2 linked regions of the Ovis aries genome follow. The protein of the gene in region 1 purifies or fractionates together with the protein of each later gene. This does not show direct contact. Links are inferred from orthologs where the notes say so. Each region holds a gene or a part of one and is shown in the gene's direction. Other genes may lie near its edges. The genes, in order: CDAN1 and ASF1B.

Region 1 (9,221 bases):
TTGAGCCAAGGCCCAAGTCGAGCCTCAGTGCGGGGAAGCCCCGCCGGCGGCGGCGGCGGCCCCGGCCCCGCCCCTGGCCCTGCCCCCTCCGCCCCGCGGCCCAACGGTCGCCCGGCGGCGCCGGCCCCGCCCTTCCCAGGGCGCCCGTGGCGCGCCGGCGCCTGCGCAGTCGCCTCAGAGCGCCCTGACCGGGATGGCGGCCGTTTTGGAGTCGCTGCTGCGAGAGGAGCTGTCGGTCGCAGTCGCTGTGCGGTGGATCGCGCGCAGCGCCCAGAGTTCGGAGGTAACAGCGCCGACACGCCCCCAGCCTGGCCTGAAGCTGCTTCCCGCGGGAGATACCGCTCCTCCCGTCCCATTCCTCTAGAGTGCCTGGCTGTCAGCCGGGGCCGAGTGCGCTCCAACTAGGGGCCGCTGCCCCGGCCGCCCGCCACCCTCAGCACGCCCTGCGGCCCCGGCTGCTCGCGGCCCCGGGCTGGCAGCTGACTGACTCTCTCTCCCCTCGCCGCTTCTCCCTCAGGATGACCCCAGGGAGGCGGCCGCGCTGAGCTCACTTCGGCCACTGCGGAAGGAATTCGTGCCATTCCTGCTGAACTTCCTGAGGGAACAGAGCAGCCGCGTCCTCCCGCAGGGCCCCCCAACCCCCGCCAAGGCCCCGGGCTCCTCGACAGGCTTGCCAGGGAGATCCGGGGGCCCGCCGCGGGGCGGCCGCGGAGCGCGCAACCAGCTCTTCCCTCCGATCGAGGCTTCGAGCGCCACCGCTGCTGACGCCCCTTCGGCCCGCCGTGGGGGCAGGAGGCGGGGCCCGGGGCCGGCCCGCGAGCGAGGCCGCGGCCCCGGGGGCCTGGAGGAGGGGGTCAGCGGGGAGTGCCTGCCCTGGGCCGGGGGCCGGAGGCCCAGGAGCTCTGGCAGCCCCAGCAGCCCCAGCCTCGCGCGCTCTGATCCGCCAAACCTCAGCAACCTGGAGGAGTTCCCTCCCGTGGGCTCCGTTCCCCCCGGCTCTGCAGGGTGAGAATTAGCCCTCATCTAAAATATGGCTCTGCTAGGGGAGTTAAAAAATTAAGGCTGGGTGCTCTGTAGTAGAGCGTGGTAATAACAAGAAAGTAGGGGGTGAAATATCTACGTGGTGAGGGGCATTTTGCAAGGGGTGCTAGATGTTTTGGTGGAGGGGGAGATGCTTGAAGATGGGAATTAGGAAAACCTATGGCTGCTTTTCAACAGGACCAAGCCTTCCCGCAGGATCAACCCAACTCCAGTGAGCGAAGAGCGATCACTTTCCAAGCCCAAGACTTGCTTCACCTCACCCCCAATCAGCTGTGTTCCCAGTTCCCAACCCTCAGTCCTAGACACTAGCCCTTGGGGCCATGGGATTCCCTCAGGGTGCAGAAGTCTGCAAGAGGAGCGGGAGATGCTCAGGAAGGAGCGGTATGGCTTTGCTGCTCCTGGGGATGTCAGCTTCCTTTGGGGGGTGGGATTTGCAGGGCTTTTCCCTGTGATTAATTTGTCTCCTGGGAACCCTGGGTCTGTTTCCTGGGCTGTGGACAGGTCTCTAAGGAACCTGAGTGTGGCTGTGGAGGGGAAGCCATGCTGACTGCTCATGACGTTTCTCTTTCCCCGGTAGCTCTAAGCAGCTGCAGCAGTCACCTACTCCTGCCTGTCCCACCCTAGAACCAGGATCTCCTCACCCCAGCCGGACAGGACACCTCACAGCTGAACCCGCTGACCCTACCAGAGTATCTTCCCGCCACCGTCTGGAGCTGGTTGCCCTTGTCTACTCTTCATGCATTGCAGGTGAGTGAGAACAGAGCCCTGGAATGAAGACACTTGTAGAACTACAGGGTAAAAGAATTGAACTGAGCCTTTGTTTTGACTGGCGTTCAATACCCTGGAGTTTCCTTTTTAACCAGAGAACCTGGTACCAAACCTCTTCTTGGAGCTTTTCTTCGTCCTTCAGCTCCTTACTGCCCGGAGGATGGTGGCTGCCAAAGACAGTGACCTTGAACCAACTCCGGGAGCTGTAGGTTGGTGAACAAGCCTCTTTTTGAGAAATGATGTCTGGAAATGAAATTGTTTTTAACCAACAGCTTGGTACTGTCCTTCTAGATTCCCTGGAAAGCCCTCTGTTCCAGAGTGTCCATGATTGTGTCTTCTTTGCAGTGCAGGTTTTGGAACATCAATTTCAGTAAGTTTCCCCCGCTGAGGCATTTGAACCTTATTCACATTATTCACTTGATTCTCTGGCTACTTCGGGGGCATGCTTGTGCTTGACACAGATGTAGTGACCCTAGGCCTTTTCCTACATGTAACCCTTCAGTTTCGTGTCAAAGCTATGAATTTAGCCCTTGAAAGAATCAAACTGCCCCCAGTAGTTTTGGTAGCTGACCTTTGGGTTTATTTACTGTTTCTGCTTTGCTATCATTAGCTGCTCCATAGGGTCTCGTTTCCTTTCCCTTTATCGTCTTTAATCCTTGGCGCATGACTTTTCTTTTTTTTATGTACCTGCTCTGTGCTCCAGGTAACACACTGTGCTGTGCAGATGCCAGCTGCCTATTTGCAGTCTGTCCCATTCTCAGTCATGTGTGCTCTTATCCCTGTACAGCGTTCTCTCCCACCTGGACAAAGGGACATTGAAGCTGTTGGCTGAGAATGAGCGATTACTGTGTTTCTCACCGGCTCTGCAAGGTCGCCTCCGAGCTGCCTATGAGGGCAGTGTCGCCAAGGTAGTGACCCCATCTTAGACATCTTCTAGCCTGGATCTGACCCTTCCTAGTCTCATAATCCAGGCGGCCCAGCTCACACCACTGTAGTGTCATGCGGCCTAAAACTCTGGACTAGAATATGGGGATGAAGTTTTCTGAGCGTGAACTCTGCTTTCAGTCCCTAATGTCACTGTTTTAGGTCTCTCTGGCGATGCCACCTTCTGCTCAAGCTGTCTCCTTTCAGCCAGAAACTGACAATCGTGCTAACTTCTCCAGTGACCGAGCCTTTCATACTTTCAAAAAACAGAGGTGATAAGAAAAGGGGACTCTGGGGGAGGGGATGAAGCAGCATTTTCTCCGGGATAGGCAGCCTATGTTGTTTTCATAGAAACTAGATGTTTGGCACTAACGGGTGTAGTTTAGCACCACCAGGCCCTTCCTAGCAAACATCTTAAGGGCCACTTAGCCTCATTCTCTTTCACACCCATGGACTCGCACCTCTGACAGTAGCAGCTTTCTCGCAGTGTAATGACTTTGGCCACAGGGTTCTCAGATGAGAGTGCCAGATTAGCCTTAACTGCCCACAGAAGCAAGTGAAGCATGTGGTGTACTACTGTCGGGTCTGTGGGATTATCACATAGAGAACCTTGGAGAGGATAAGCAATGGAGCTGTGAATGGTCCTGTCTACAGTTCTGAGCTAGAGAAGGCACTCCTGAGAATGAGTTAAGCCAACTGTGCTTCAGTTGATCAGACATCTTATGTGTCTGCCAGGGATGTGTTTTACGAGGTACTTCGAGAGTGGGAAGATCGCCATGAGGAGCCTGGCTGGGATTTTGAGAAGGGCTTGGGCAGCAGGATCAGGTATGTGCTCATACACTGATCACTTTTTCCTGCTTCCAGCAGTGAGCAACTTAGTGGTGTTTGGGTAACTGATTAGAGAAAGGCTTCTCTCCCCACCCCGAACTCCTTCCAGCACAAAGCTGTTTTCTGTCTTCCTTAATCTCTTAGTTACTGCCACCTCTGCCTCTACTCAAAAGGGATTTATTTCTCCAACTCCTTCTACTCAGAAATCATTTATACTTGCTCTGTGATTGCAAATGATTGATAAAGTGGAACACTCTTATTCCAGGTTGCGTGAGTTTTTGCCTGTCACTGGCTTAGACCCTTTCCAACCTCTATTTTCTCCATCATCTAATCTGACAATACAAGATAACTTTGTGTAGCTGGATAACTAGGATACAGAAAGAATATCCTCTTGTCTGGTGATCTCCCATCCACGTTGGTCATGAAGCTTACTGGCAGTCAGTGTAGACTGAAGAGGAGAAGGGTGGTCTCATTTCATGTTTGGTTAAGTGTAAGGTTAAGGGCTTCCCTGGGGGCTCAGATGGTAAAGAACCTGCCTGCAATGCAGGAGACCCAGATTCTGTCTCGGGGTCAGGAAGATCCCCTGGAGAAGGAAATGGCAACCCATTCCAGTATTCTTGCCTGGGAGATCCCAATGGACAGAGGAGCCTGGCAGGCTACAGCTCATGGGGTGGCAAAGAGTCGGACATGACTGAGCGACTGACAGTTTCAGTAAGTGTCTCTCTAGCCTTGAGGGATCTTGGTGCTAAGGAAAGTATCCTTTACCTTTTCCCATATCCTTGTGCCAGCCAGCTCTGGTAGAAGGCTGCTCAAGCCCCTGGTAGAGGGCTGAAAGTCTCAAGGATTGGCTTGTTCTCTCAGATCTTTCTCCCCCTCTTCCTCCCATAACACTCCATCCCTGCCTCTTATTCCTCAGAGCCATGATGGGTCAACTCTCTGCGGCCTGCAGCCACAGCCATTTTGTTCGACTTTTCCAGAAACAACTTCTCCAGGTAATTGCTCCAGCAGGAGATCTGTCTCCAGTGGACAGTATGTATTATAGGTGCCAAGGAATGGCTGGCACTTTGGGACAGGACAGGAGAACAGGCAGGTCCTTGGCTGAAGAGTAAACAAGAGTTCTGCTCTTCCTCTGTGGGCCCCCTCACACACCCAGCTCTCCTGGCCCTCCTTCAGTCCCTCCCTGCTTTCTTGCCCTTGCTTTGTGGTGTGGTAGAAAGAGTGCAAGGTTAGGTCTGGTTTCAAATCCTCGTGACCCTATGCAGATGTTGAATCTTAAAATTTCAGTTTCTTCACCTGTAAAAATAAGAATATAACACAGACCTCAAAAAATACATCTATGGCACACAATATAGGGTGGGCACCCCGTATTGTTCACTGCTTCCTCCTCATTTTCTTCACCCCTTCTTTCCAGAAAAACTCACTGGTTTATCAATTTCTCTCCTCCTCCCCCTGCCCCAGATGTGTCAGAGTCCTGGTGGTGCTGGGGGCACTGTCTTGGGTGAGGCTCCGGATGTGTTAAATATGCTTGGAGCTGACAAGCTGGGGCGGTTGCGGCGCCTACAGGAACGGCTTGTGGCCCCTCAGAGCAGTGGGGGCCCCTGCCCACCCCCTACCTTCCCAGGCTGTCAGGGCTTCTTCAGGGACTTCATCTTGAGTGCCAGCAGGTAAAGGTCCCCTGTCTTGCCGAGAGTGGGGGAAGAGGCCTGAAAAAGAGGTTTGTGTTCCCAGAAGGGCAAGAGTTTGCTCTTCTTGGCCTGGAATGTCAGTGGGTGGGACTGGGGGATGCCCAGCCTCCTTCTAACCCACACTTCCTGCTTCCATTTCCCTTCTCACTCTCTCACCTATGAAGGTAAACTCCTTGTTCCTTGACCTCCTGTGTCTGCCCTACTGAGCCTTTCTGTCTGGAACACCACCTCTATTATCCTTCCTGCACCTCTTCCAGTACCTTTTTTCCCCCTTCCCTTCATAGCTTCCAGTTTAATCAGCATCTCATGGATAGTCTGAGTTTGAAGATCCGAGAACTCAACAGCCTCGCCCTTCCTCAGCCTGAGCCTAGTGATGAGGATGGGGAGTCAGACGTGGACTGGCAGGTTAGAAAGCAGAAGAAAGGAGGCTTTGCTTTAGAGGGGAAAGGATATTTTCAAGAAGTCTGTAACAGATGTGGTTTTGTTCTAGAAGCCTAATGCTTAGGACCTCTTACTTCTTGATGGCCTGCAGGGTGAACGGAGGCAGTTTGCTGTGGTGCTGCTCAGCCTAAGGCTTCTGGCCAAATTCTTGGGCTTTGTCGCTTTCCTGCCATACCGTGGGCCTGAACCACCCCCGACCCGTGAGCTCCAGGACTCCATTCTGTCCCTGAGGAGCCAGGTGAATGGGGGCGCTGGTAAGGAGGGAGCTGGGAGGAGCCGCATGGCAATGGCGTTAGAAGGCTTTCCCCAGCCCCTGACTGACCCTGGCCCTCCCAGGTGCCCCCAGTCCTGGACGTGCGAGCTCTGCTGCAGCAGGGGCTGCGGGCACGCCGAGCAGTGCTCACAGTGCCCTGGCTGGTGGAGTTCCTTTCTCTTGCTGACCACATTGTCCCCATGCTGGACTATTACCGCAGCATCTTCACTCTCCTGCTGCACCTGCATCGGTGAGTCAAGAGAGGGCAAGGCTTGAGAAAAGGGTGCAGGGAGAATGTTGTTGAGACTGCTGCTTTTTGAAGAGGGCCAAGCAGCTTGTGCTTCCTGTGTGCTTCCATAGCTATAGCTGACCCTCAGGGGAAAGGCCAGGCCTTGATCCACAAGGACAGACAGTGGGCAGTTATTTGCACTTTGATTGGCCCTTTTCTGTTCCTACTGTGGCCGAGCTAAGAGTGAGTACAGGTCTGGGAGAGGTGATGAGACATGGCTGCCTACACAACAGCAGTCCCTTTTAGGTCTCCTTTTGAGAATCACCTTCCCAGTGATAGCTTTTTTTTTTTTTTTAACTCCATTCCATTTCTCTCATTGCACAGATTCCACTCACACCCTCATTTACCTTTTAGGAGCTTGGTCTTATCAAAGGAAAGTGAAGGGGAGATGTGTTTCCTGAACAAGCTGTTGCTGCTTGCTGTCCTAGGCTGGCTTTTCCAGGTTGGTGGAATGAGGGTCCAGGTTGGGGAAAGGCGGTATGACTTCTGTGGCTGGAAATGGGCAAAGGGAAAGTGTAGGACTCTGACAGAGAGCGGGACCAGACGCTAAAGGCTCAGAGGAGGAAAGATGGGGTTGCCATAGAGGAAGGTGGCTTTGAACCTGGTTGTCTAAACCCTGGAACCATGAAGTTGGAGGTGTGATGAATCCCTAAAGTGCTGGCTGGCACTCCCCTAATCTTTTGCCAGATTCCCACAGTCCCTGAGGACCTATTCTTTCTGGAAGAGGGTCAGTTGGATGTCTTTGAGGTGGACACAGTAGCCTCAGAGCATGGCTTGGTAAGTATTGGGGTCCAGCCAGAGCCATGGGAACCACAAGAGTAAAGGAGGTAGCCTGCCTGTCAGCGGGCCCAGAAACACAAGCCAGAATAGAGGCTGAAGTCTCACGTAATTCTCTAACCCGACCGCCCCATTTCTGGGAGGAAGGGAAGCTTCCCTTCCGCAAACTGACCTGTTGTCTCCCGCAGGACAGCATGCCTGTGGTGGACCAGCAGCTGCTCTACACTTGCTGCCCTTATATTGGTGAGGATACTCTTCCCCAAGGGTCCTTGGTCCTTGGCCTGCCCCTTCATGAGTACCCAAAATGCATCCCATGGGCCCAGCACCCTCGTACTTTGTTTTGTGCTTAGGCGCTCCCTGATGCCTCGTTCTGTCTATTCCACAAATGCTTAGTCTGGATGCTTGGGAGGGTGGGACAGTTCTGGAACTAAGCACATGGGCTTCTCTGATGCAGGAGAGCTCCGCAAACTGCTCGCTTCATGGGTGTCAGGCAGCAGTGGAAGGAGTGGGGGCCTCGTCAGGAAAATCACCCCCACCACCACCACGGGCCTGGGAGCCCAGCCTCCCCAGACCACACAGGGGCTGCAGGTAAGGGGCAGGGTGGAAGCAAGGGCCACCTCATGGGTAAGGGAAAGGGAGCCCTTGCCTGCACTGCTCCCTCCTCCCCACAGGCACAGCTGGCCCAAGCCTTTTTCCACAACCAGCCGCCCTCCCTGCGCAGGACTGTGGAGTTCGTGGCAGAGAGAATTGGTTCTAACTGTGTCAAGCATATCAAGTGAGTCTGAATTGAGGGGGTTGGGAATGAAGGTGTTGCAGGTCCCAGGCTCATTTCCTTATCCTTTTCCCCCTTTTAACACCTTGTTGCCAAACTGAGGAAAGTCAGCTGAGGGGTGGGGACAGGGGCCCAGTGGGATGGGGAAGGCTGAAATGGCTAACATTCTTTCAAGTTAGTTCTGACCTGGTTTGCTTGAATTTGCAGCCCCTTTCCAATTCAGCCTTTCCAACTACCTCAAAATCTTGCTGTTCCTGCTGCAGGGCCACGCTGGTGGCAGAGCTGGTGCGCCAGGCAGAGTCGCTTCTTCAAGAGCAGCTGGTGACCCAGGGACAGGAAGGAGGCGATCCAGCCCAGCTGTTGGAGATCTTGTGTTCCCAGCTGTGCCCTCACGGGGCCCAGGCGCTGACCCAGGGGCGGGAGTAAGATGCCAGTCTGTTGGGATCCTCTCATCTCCACTCTGCTCTTAGCCTTTCCTTTCCTGTCCTTTTTTTTCTTATATTGTTTATTCCATGTCTTCTCCCACCCTGCTTTTGTCATTCTATTTTTGCCTGCTCTGTAGGCTCTTATCTTGGTTTTTAGAGGTTTAAGGACCCAAGTTTAGAGTCGAATTGGAAAGGCATGTGGTTGGGTGTCCAATCTCCTGGCATCTGGGCCAGAGAGCTGAGCATGCCCTCCCCTGTGGCAGAGCTCTCCCAGCTCAGGGAGTTGGTGCACTCAGGGACCCAGCTGATGTCTCAAGACATCACTGACCTCTGTCTCCTTTCAGGTTCTGCCAAAAGAAGAGCCCAGGTGCCGTGAGGGCACTGCTTCCTGAGGAGACTCCGGCAGCCGTACGTAGGAAGTAGTCCTGGGGTGGTGGGCTGGGCTGGTGGGAGAGCAGTGCTGTGGGGCTGTGTGTGTCAACATGCACATGAGGTGGTGGGCGGGCCAGTCTTGGACTTGGGCATTCACCACTGTCCTAACTTGCCCCTGACTCAAAACTACTTCTGTGTCACAGGTTCTAAGCAGTGCAGAGAACATTGCTGTGAGCCTCGCAACAGAGAAAGCCTGTGCATGGTTGTCAGCCAACATCACAGGTAAGGTCCAGGGAAGGGGAGTAACTGACCAAGTTTTTCGAGTGGACTGGCAGGAAGTTGGAGGCCACTTGGGGGAAGACAGGACTCAGGGCCAGTTGGCAACAGGGAAGGGCAGGGGTTGGCATGGTGAGCCTATGCAGGGCTGCTTTGGTGACTCTTCTCTGTCCTCCCTCTGACTTGCAGCACTGATCAGAAGGGAGGTGAAAGCGGCCGTGAGTCGCACGCTTCGCGCCCAGGGTCCTGAGCCAGCTGCCCGGGGGGAGCGGAGGGGCTGCTCCCGTGCCTGTGAGCACCATGCTCCCCTCCCCTCCCACCTCATCTCCGAGATAAAAGTACACAGCTCCCTACTCCCTTCGGCTCCCCT
Region 2 (9,739 bases), on another chromosome or scaffold:
ATTTAAGGAAAAAACAGAAAAGTAGAAACAACTTAAATAACAAGCAAGAGGTGGATGGATAAGCAAATTCTGTCCAACAAAACTTTCTGTGATCACGCAAGCATTCTTTATTGGAGTTGTCTAATGTGGCAGCCACAAGCCATGGTGTCTATTAAACATATGAAGTGTGGCTAAGTAACCAGGGAGTTAAGTTTTTCATTTAATTTGGATTAACTGCAAAAAAAAAAAAAAAAAAAAAGCCACCCACGGCTAATGGCTACCGCATCACACAGCACAGCTATGCAGCAGGGAAAACAAACGGCTGGAGCTACACATGTGTCACAAACACATCTTTAAAGTATTATGTGTGACCAAAAAAAGGCAAGTTTCAGAAGGCAGGGCTGGCAACAGAGGCAAGCTAGGTGTCTCGACAAAATTGTAGGAGGCACTTGCCTTCAGAGTTATGCAAGCACAGGTTGGCACTTGTGTGACTTGGAGGGTATGTCTCCTTAAATGTTGTGCCCTTGCTTTTCCTCCCCTTAATGCCAGCCCTGATGGGGTATGTCTGGTATGGCACTGCTTTGGGAATCTAAGATAACCCCTAGCTTCTATGATTCATGAAGAGGATTCATAGAATTCAGCATCTAGCCTACTCAAGGTATGATTCTGTTTGGGTTTTTGTTTTTGGTTCCCTGACCAGGAACTGAAACCATGCCCTCTGCCATGGAACCACGGAGTCCTAATGACTGGACTGCCAGGGAATTTCCCATGGTATGATTTCTTACTGTGAAAGGACACAAAGCAAAATCAGCCAAGAGAAAAGGAGCATGGGGCAAAGTCTGGAGAAAACCAGGCAGAAGCTTCCACAAGTCCTTTCCTGGTGAAGTCACATGGGACTCCCTGAGTTCCCACAGCAGAGCTGTGGCAACACGTGTGACATGCCTACCGGGAAAGCTCGGCACCTAGGGTAGCTGGGGCAGGAGGGGGCTGATCAAGTTTCAAACTTCCAGACTCCAGAAGGAAAGCAGGTGTTGGACCTAAATCACATTGTTTGTACAGTTTAGGCACCGCAAGCCACTTGTATCATTTAGGGAATGGTGGGAACTCTCCTGAAATCCAAGTTCCTATACACCAGCCGGGGCCAACCTTGCAAATAGGCCTTTCTAAGGACAGTGGTCTCAGGCCTGATACAGTTAACTCTTTTGCGCACAGGTATCTTCTGCAGGGCTTCCCAGGTGATGCTAGTGGTAAAGAACTCTGCCTGCCAGTGCAGGAGACGCAGGTTTGATCCCTGGGTCAGGAAGATCCCTTGGAGGCGGGCATGGCAACCCACTCTAATATTCTTGCCTGGGGAATCCCGTGAACAGAGGAGCCTGGGGGGCTACAGTCCATAGCGTCGCAGAGACGGACAAGAGTGAAGTGACTGAAGTGAATGGAGAGTTCCCACCATTCCCTAAATGACACAAGTGGCTCGCGGTGCCTAAACTGTACAATGCGGTTTGGGTCCAACACCTGCTTTCCTTCTGGAGTCTGGAAGTCTGAAACTTGATCAGCCCCCTCCCGCCCCAGCTACCCTAGGTGCCGAGCTTTCCCGGTAGACATGTCACACGTGGTGTCACAGCTCTGCTGTGGGAACTCAGGGAGTCCCATGTGACTTCACCAGGAAAGGACTTGTGGAAGCTTCTGCCTGGTTTTCTCCAGACTTTGCAGCAGCAGCATTTCCATAAAGTTGTAGAACGTGACATACAATACTATATATAGTTCGAAGACACCTATCAAAGATATACAAGCATGTACAGAAAGATAAACACTAAATCCAAGATTGTAGTTACATCTGAAAAGAGGGGAGGAATAGGTTTGAGGCAGGGATATATACGGCCTTTCAATTGCATCACTAATGTTTCACTTCTTAAGCTGGGTAAGGAGTAAAAATGTACTTTGTTATAGCATTTCTTCTTCTGAGTGAGTACACCTGAAATACTACGTAAGAAAAATGATGGCTATGCACTGCTGTTTCTTGTTTATGAAGTAGTTTTCACATTCCAGGTACCATGTAAGCCCTTTATAAGGATTTACTCTTTTTTAAAAACAATCTACTGAAAACTTTCTACATGTGAGGTCCTAACTGAGAGGTCTGTATGAGACAGGTGGGATCACTGTCCTCAACCAGCTTTCAGTCTACTGAGGGACGACAAGAGTTCCCTGGTGTTCTAGCGGTTAGCATTTGAGGCTTTCACTGCTGTGGCCCAGGTTCAATCCCCAGTCAGGGAACTGAGATTCCGCAAGCCATGCAGCGGAGCAAAAAAAAAAAAACATATCTACAGATTCTAGCAAGTGCTCCTAATAAGCAGGCTTTTGTGATAAATGAAGGTCTACTTTAACTAGGATGGTCCAAGAAGGCTTCTTTTGGAGAGACATCTGGGGTGAACCATATATGATGAGAATGAGACAGACAAGCAATTAGCTAAAGGAAGCACGTTCCAGGCAGAGGGAAGAGCAACTGCAAAGCCAGGCAGCAGGAATCAAGTTTGGTGTGTTGAAAGACAGGAAATAAAGCCAGGAGGGCTTGGGAGTGGTGACAAGAGGGAGACTGGCAGATGAGGTCAGTTGAGGCCACTGTGCAGGGCCTCCTAAGCCACAGTGAAGATCTTAAGTTTCATCCTAAGTATGATAAGCCTTTGAAGGTTTTAAGCAGAGTAATGACATGATCTAGTTTACAACTGAAGATTATTCAGCCAGCTGTAGGGAGAAGGCATTATAGACAGAGACATAATACTTGTGACTGATGAACTTTTCAGGGGCTATGAAAAGGTTGGGGCTGAGAATGAAAGAAAAAAAGTTCCACAATGCAGAAAGAAAACTACAAAGTTGTAATGAGTAAAATGTTTAATATCTAGAAAACAAAATATAACAACTTCATCAAAGTTCATATGCATAAGCAATTGAATTACATTTGGAAATAATTTGAAAATTTGACCTTCTCAAGTCACAAAAATTCCTAAGGATGCCCAATGACTGCCAAGAACCCAGAGCCAATCATAATGGGAATTTTCTTGCAGCCAAATCGTTTCAATGAGGGGAAGAATCCTTTCAATCCTACTTGAGATGGAGATACAAAAAAAAAAAAAAAAAAAGAGAGAGAATATTCTGAGCATCACGAGGCCACAGAGGTGGATGGATAAGAAATCCTAGTGGCTTGAAATGTACCGTTCAGGCTTATGTTCCACGAATTTGAATGTTGTCCAGGGGGCTCTTGGATTCTCCGAAGAAATTTGAGCAGAGACTTGAATAACAAGGAGGCACCAGAAAAGAGGTGGGGGGTGTCATGTCAGATTTTATGAAACAAAAAGGTCAGTTTGGCTGAAGTTGGTTTTGGCTATCCAATATCGGAAGCCACAGGGGATGACAAGCACCTCAGTGTGGCTAGTGCCACTGTGAAACAGAACATTCCACGTCGCTTAACTTTCATTAATTAATATTTCAATTTATCACCGACATGAGATTGAGTTCATGGGAAATTTTAACGTATGTTGGGAAACACTTGGGCATGTGAATCTCCATTTCAACTGTAAATTTTATGAAACCTCAACTATTTCCGGTGAAAACCTAGCGTCCGGATCACAGCTGTGGTGTAACGTGTAAAATACACAGGTTTTCAAACCGTTAGTACTAGGTAACAAAATAAAGATACCTCAGGTTCGTGTTTGTTTTTTTTTAATACCGATCACATGTTGAAATGATATTCTGGCTATACTACATTAAGTTTAATATATTTATATATATATATGTAACGTGGCTACTATAGAAAAGTTTAAGATTAGGTTTGTTGACGCCCGTGGAAGCGGACTAAAGGAATGCGGCGGCCCCTCGAGTCTTCCAGACAGGGGGCGACGGTGGTCCCGCCTACGCCTGGGAGTGGAAAGAAGTTTCTAGATGTATTATGTAGTCATAAGTCAGGCCAGTAAAATTTCATCACCCCGTTCAATGAGCAGGGAAATGAGGCCTCGGGTGGTGCGTGGCAGAGGCCGGATTCGAAATCCCATTCAGCGCCGTCCACCTGAAACCTCCCCAGGGGCTCTCAAGTAAGAACCTGATTCGAACCAGGCCCGACTACCGGGTCCCGGGCCCCAGAGCGCCGCGTTAGCGCGGCACCGTCTGCGCTCAAGGGTGAGTTAAACGTTCACAACGTTCACAACGGACGCCCAGCCTGCCGGGTCTGCGGGGCCAGGAGCCCCTTAGAGAAACTTCCGGCAACGCTCACCTGCTGACAGATGCCGATGCCGCAAACGCTGCTCCTTTCTCTTCACACTCTGCTCAACCGCGTCAGCGGCCGACTTCCGCTCCACTTCCACGAATCCCCGGCCGCGTCTTCTCTTCTCCCGCCCCCGCAGCCAACTCAGCCAATCACCTCTCAGGAAACCTGCTTTATCTCCGCCCCATTTCTGCCTGCCAATCACTGCAAGTCCAGCACGTCCCTTCCTTCCCGCTTAAGCGAGCGCTGTGCGCCACCACTCGGCGGTTGACTGCGCTGCCCCCAGCTGGAAGAGTCTCCCGGAAAGGCGGGGCTAATCGCGGACCACGCTGGTGCGGGGACCCTAGGGATTGGCCAAGAAGAGCCAGGCGCTCTGACCCCGCCCACCCCTCCCTGGACGTCCGAGTCGGAGACTCTGGGGATTGGTTCCCCGCGGACACCAAAGAAGCCTAGAGACGGTCCCGCCTCCCTCGCTCATCCCTGAGATGGAGCTCCACGGATTGGTCTCGGGAGTCTCGGCGCGCGCCGACCGGCGCTCCAGGATTGGCTGAGGAAGCACTCGCGCAGTCGTGGAGCGTTGACGGTGATTGGCCGTAGGGTGAGAGCCGGCTATTTGAAGGAGGCGCGCGGACTAGATACGCACTTCAGATCGCGGTCAGAGGAGGCGGGAGCGGGTTTGGGCAGAGCTTCGCCGCTGACCCGACAGGACCCAGGCGCGGGCTCGGCCCCAGCTCTGGCCTCAGCCGTGACCCGACGAGGCGATGGCTAAAGTGTCAGTATTGAACGTGGCGGTGCTGGAGAATCCGAGCCCTTTCCACAGCCCTTTCCGGTTCGAGATCAGCTTTGAGTGCAATGAGGCCCTGGCAGACGGTGAGATTGGGCCCTTGTGGAGACCCCACTCCCCTGAGCTAACCCCGACCTCCCTTTGCAGACAACCCCGAGGCCAACCCTGCCAAACACACTTCCTCTCCCCCTCCCCCTCCCCCAACCGCGATCTCCCTTGAACCAAAGCCCGCCCACCAGCCCCAACCCCGCCCCTTGGAGACTACCCACCGCACCCCACCCCCATGGTTACTCCTCTTTTCCCCTCATGGAGACCACTTCATCCTCCTCTTTCTCCTGGGCGTTCCTCCTGAGCATCTGTTTTCTGTGTAGAGACCTCAGCCTCAGTTCTTTAACCTGCAGAGACCCTCAGCCTTCCCATCTTCCTTGTAGCAAGAAACCCCCCATCTTCTGTTTCTGTATGGACAGACTACCATTCCAGCCACCCAATCCTCCCCCACCAATCCCCTCTCCCCTGTGGTGAGACACTTCCACCTCACTCTTTTCCTGTGGAGATGTAAGCTCTAGCCCCCTCCCGTGTCCCATATGAAAACCGCAGCCTCCTCCCTCATTTTCCCTGTGAAGATCCTCGCCCTCTGGCAAGACCTCACACATCCTTATCTCCCCATTTGTCTCCCCATAATATCCCCTACCTGCTGATACTTAACCCCACCCTACCCCCCTTCAGCTTGTTTCCTACCTCAAAACACATACCCTAGAAACTGGCTTCCCTCCTTAGTCTGGCCCCAACCCTCTACTTCCTCAAGAGAGGCATGACCTGGCTTCCTGCTCCAGTGTTTGAGGATGATCTGGTCTCCCCAGCTCCTCTTCCTTCCTCTTCCCTGACTGTGGGCTTCAATGAACACACTCAGATCTGAGGAGTGGCATGGCCAGGCACACGTTAGCTGGTTCCTGCTGTTGGCCTGCTGGATTCCTGCTGACCCACTGCAGCAAAGCTTGCAACACTTTTGATGGCCTGACCTCGACTTGCGCGGTGTGGGGTGGGTGTGCCAGGCCGAGCCATGGTGATGTTTGGCTTCAATCTGGGAGGTCACAGCCTTTTGTGCACCTTTTCCAAGGTGCTTTCACAGATGTGCTTATTCATCCCTGTGACAAAAGGCGGACATGGCTCTCATCTCACAGATGAGAAGGCGGGAGACAGAGTAAAAGACCTTTCAAGTAAAGGCCTATAAAAACCAGAAAGGCTAAGGTTGTTCAGCGAGTCTTGGCACCACTTTCAGGAGGAAGTACTTCCATTAGATGTCTTCTCTACTTGGTGGTTAGAAGAGAAGAGGCAGCCTCTAAGGAGGTAGAGATCTGGAAGGCAAGGGTGTGCTAAACTAGTCGTTCTCAGTGGTTGGTGGGTGGTTTGCCTACAAATGGGCTTCTCCAACTAACATGGGGTTGAAGAGTTTTGATGTGTGCTTGGGTGGGGCCATTGGATCACTCCCTGCTTTCTCTCGTTTTTAAATCAAGGAGTCATTCTACTTATGACTAACTATAGAATATGCCCAGTTAAATCCTTTCTGGAACAAGGCGGGGTGTAAATAAATAAATAAAGTGTAGAATGACCCTGTGGAATAAGATTTAATTTTAAAGCCAGGAGATGTAAGGAGCTAATAGTTCAAGGGATTCATAGTTCCCAGATGGCAGGAGATCGGGTTTCAATCAGCCTGTTTGAGCTCCTGGCATTTAAAAATGGTTGCATGGTCATTATCTAGTACTTTCATTCCTGCAAAGCTACTGCCCTGTTACTTTATTAATCTGTTTATAGAATCAGGAGAGTCTAAAGTCAACCTGCTGGTCATTGTTTTTTATTTGTGTTATATTTTGTTTAAGATTTATTTATTTTTGGCTGAGCTAGATCTTCGGTGCTTTGCTCAGGCTTTCTCTAGTTGGGGTGAGCAGTGACTACTCTTCGTTGTGGTGCATTGGACTTCTTGCTGCGGTGGCTTCTCTTGTTGAGGGGCACAGGCTCTAGGTGAGCAGGCTTCAGTAATTGGAGCGCTCGGGAGTAGTTGCTCCACAGCATGTAAGGTCTTCCCGGACCAGGGATCAAACCCATGTCCCCTGCTTTGGCAGGTGGATTCTTAACCACTGGACCACCAGGGAAATCCCTAAAGACAGTTCTTTCTTTCCCCAAGGTCATTATTTTTCTAATGGAAACAAAATGATTTTTCCAAGGTCACACAGCTGGTGTGTAGAATTATTCACAACTAGGTCTTGTTTCTGAGTTCTGAGTCCAGGGTTCTTTATCTTTGCTATAAACTGGAAAAGAATGCACCCACTATTTTAGAAGTGAGACATAAACAGGACAGAAGAGGGCAACAGGGTCTTATTATTAATTATACCTGAACAATAAAGCTTTTGCTCAGAAGAATTCCAGTTGGAAAGCCAACTCTGGCCTGGAAGTCTACACTCTCTGGTTGTACCTGTAGGGCTGTGCTTCACTCTGACCTGTCAACATGCTTTCTGCCTCTTCCCACAGAGCAGAAAGGATTTGTCTCCTGCCTCCCAAACAAATGGAGTAGGCCTGGCTTTAGAAGTCTCTTAGATTCTGGAGAAATTCTCAGTCAGCCTTATTACCTGGTAACTGAAGATCTGAACACCCAGCCCCAACTCTGAGCCATTTCTCAAGGGCTCTGAAATGTTTTAACTCTCTCTCCCTCTCCCCGCTCAGCAGCATGTGGAAATAGATGCGTCCAAGGCCTGGGTCTGTATTCAATACATTGGGTGTGTTTTCCCCCAGTTTAGTTGAGAGATTCATGAGATACTGCCTGAACAAGTCTTAGAGCCAGATTTTCTGACCTACACCGAACACGCTGTGGTCAGGCCAAGGTTCAACTGTATTATGAACAAAGGGAAAGTGATAAACAGAAAAAGGCATACTAGATAAGTTGTTGGGGTTGGGGTTGTTTTGTTGTTTTTTTGATTGTTTGGGACTTGTGTGTGTGTGGCTACGATGGGTCTTCATTGCTGCACTTGGGCTTTCTCTAGTTGGGAGCAGGAGCTACTCTTCGTCATGGTGCTTGGGTGTCTCATTGCAGGAGGCTTCTCTTGTTGTGGAGCCTGGGCCCTAGGATGAGCAGACTTCAGTAGCTGTGGCACACGGGCTCAGTGGTTGCGGCGCATGGAGTTGGTTACCCTGAGACCTGTTGGGATCATCCTGGACCAGGGATGGAGCCTGTGTCTCCTGCATTACAGGTGGAGTCTTATCTACCGTGCCACCAGGGTAGTCCTGTTTGTGTTTTGGGGGGGACAGGAAACAGATTCTCCTGCTAGTTCAACTACCGTAATTTTTTTTATGTTTTTCATCATACCGTTGGTCTGGATTTTGTTTTCATACATAGTGGAGGAGCATTTTGTGCAGTGGTTAGATGATAAAGTTAAGGCATAAAGTCAAAACAATGGAATCCATTTACCCTTGGAATTACTTAGAAGGCTAGGCATACGTTACACATGTGCGACCTTAATTCATATTCAGCAGGAATGAATTTGTGCTGTTTGTGATTGACGTCCTCACAGCTCATTCAAAAAAGTGAAGTCATTTCAGGATGCCTCTGCTTAAGAGTCCTTGTTTTAGTCATCTTCCATCTTCCATAGATGATTTTATAAACTCTTTAACTTATTTTTTTTTAATATTTATTTATTTATTTGACTGCCCCGAGTCTTAGTCACAGTATGCGGAATCTCTTTAGTTGTGACATGCGAACTCTTATTAGCAGCATGTGGGGTCTAGTTCCCCAACCAGGGATTGAACCTGGGCCCGCTGCATTGGGAGCTCGGAATCTTAGCCACTGGACCACCAGGGAAGTCCCTCAGCTCCTTAATTCCTGAGTGAGTATTGTCGGCCTTGGTTAATTCTCTGGTTTCTTTCTGACCTGAGTACTGGGAACCACTTCAACCCATTCGCCTGACCACCTGCGTTTCTCTCTTCCAGTCTGCACCCACACAGGCTTGTTTAGGTTTTGCCAACAGGTGTTTTTGGGTTTGGGCCATTCCGTGCCAAATTTGGGATCTCAGTTCCCTGACAACCAGGCCACAGCAGTGGAAGACGGAAATCCTAACCACTAGGCAACCAGGGAACTCCGTTGTCAACAGCGTTGAAAACTGAGTGCCAGTCGCATACACTAGGCCCTATTCTATTAAAATTTCCCTTTTGTATCCACCCTCAGCACGTTAGTCATGCTTCCCAGGTGGCTCAGTGGTAAAGGAATCTGCCTGCCAATGCAGGAGACTCGGGTTTGATCCTGGGTTGGGAAGATCTCCTGGAGGAGGAAATGGCAACCCACTCCAGTATTCTTGCCTGGAGAATTCCACAGACAGAGGAGCCTGGAGGGCTACAGTCCATGGGGTCACAAGAGTCGGACACAGCTTAGCCACTGAGCACATAATGCAACACGTTAGTTAAGTGCGCACATATGTGACTCCACTGATGATGGGGAAGGCGGCCAGAAGGAAAGACACCAGATGATAGAACTGTGTCAGAAAGGTGAGAACAGGGCTAGCTTGTTTTCTGTTCATCCAAAAACGTGTTATTTTGGGTTGTGTCACTACTTGTAGCAAAAATAAATCAGTAAGCTTAACTCCTTCCTGCAAGTAAGAGAATGGGCTTTGACTGAAGCCCAGTTCAGTCCAATGGCCACCCACATCCTGTAGACCTGATAAGGTCCCTGAGTAGAAGGC

Evidence for each region.
Region 2: the proteins of CDAN1 (region 1) and ASF1B purify together in Homo sapiens (co-immunoprecipitation; 5 studies listed by BioGRID and IntAct, counting the BioPlex papers as one, with this or other methods). This does not show direct contact. The link is inferred for Ovis aries from reciprocal best matches to the Homo sapiens genes CDAN1 and ASF1B.

What each region holds. Positions count from the first base shown.
Region 1 is NC_056060.1:36,248,714-36,257,934, reverse strand, and holds the start of CDAN1 (codanin-1), read left to right. Parts: upstream 1-167; 5' UTR 168-193; coding exon 194-283; intron 284-517; coding exon 518-1,005; intron 1,006-1,218; coding exon 1,219-1,422; intron 1,423-1,618; coding exon 1,619-1,788; intron 1,789-1,904; coding exon 1,905-2,018; intron 2,019-2,100; coding exon 2,101-2,179; intron 2,180-2,596; coding exon 2,597-2,717; intron 2,718-2,895; coding exon 2,896-3,005; intron 3,006-3,468; coding exon 3,469-3,558; intron 3,559-4,477; coding exon 4,478-4,553; intron 4,554-5,019; coding exon 5,020-5,225; intron 5,226-5,530; coding exon 5,531-5,651; intron 5,652-5,778; coding exon 5,779-5,925; intron 5,926-6,023; coding exon 6,024-6,190; intron 6,191-6,583; coding exon 6,584-6,671; intron 6,672-6,916; coding exon 6,917-7,006; intron 7,007-7,194; coding exon 7,195-7,249; intron 7,250-7,460; coding exon 7,461-7,594; intron 7,595-7,677; coding exon 7,678-7,781; intron 7,782-8,041; and 8 more. UniProt on the Homo sapiens protein: May act as a negative regulator of ASF1 in chromatin assembly.
Region 2 is NC_056058.1:9,896,453-9,906,191, forward strand, and holds the start of ASF1B (histone chaperone ASF1B), read left to right. Parts: upstream 1-4,872; 5' UTR 4,873-4,992; coding exon 4,993-5,101; intron 5,102-9,739. UniProt on the Homo sapiens protein: Histone chaperone that facilitates histone deposition and histone exchange and removal during nucleosome assembly and disassembly. Cooperates with chromatin assembly factor 1 (CAF-1) to promote replication-dependent chromatin assembly.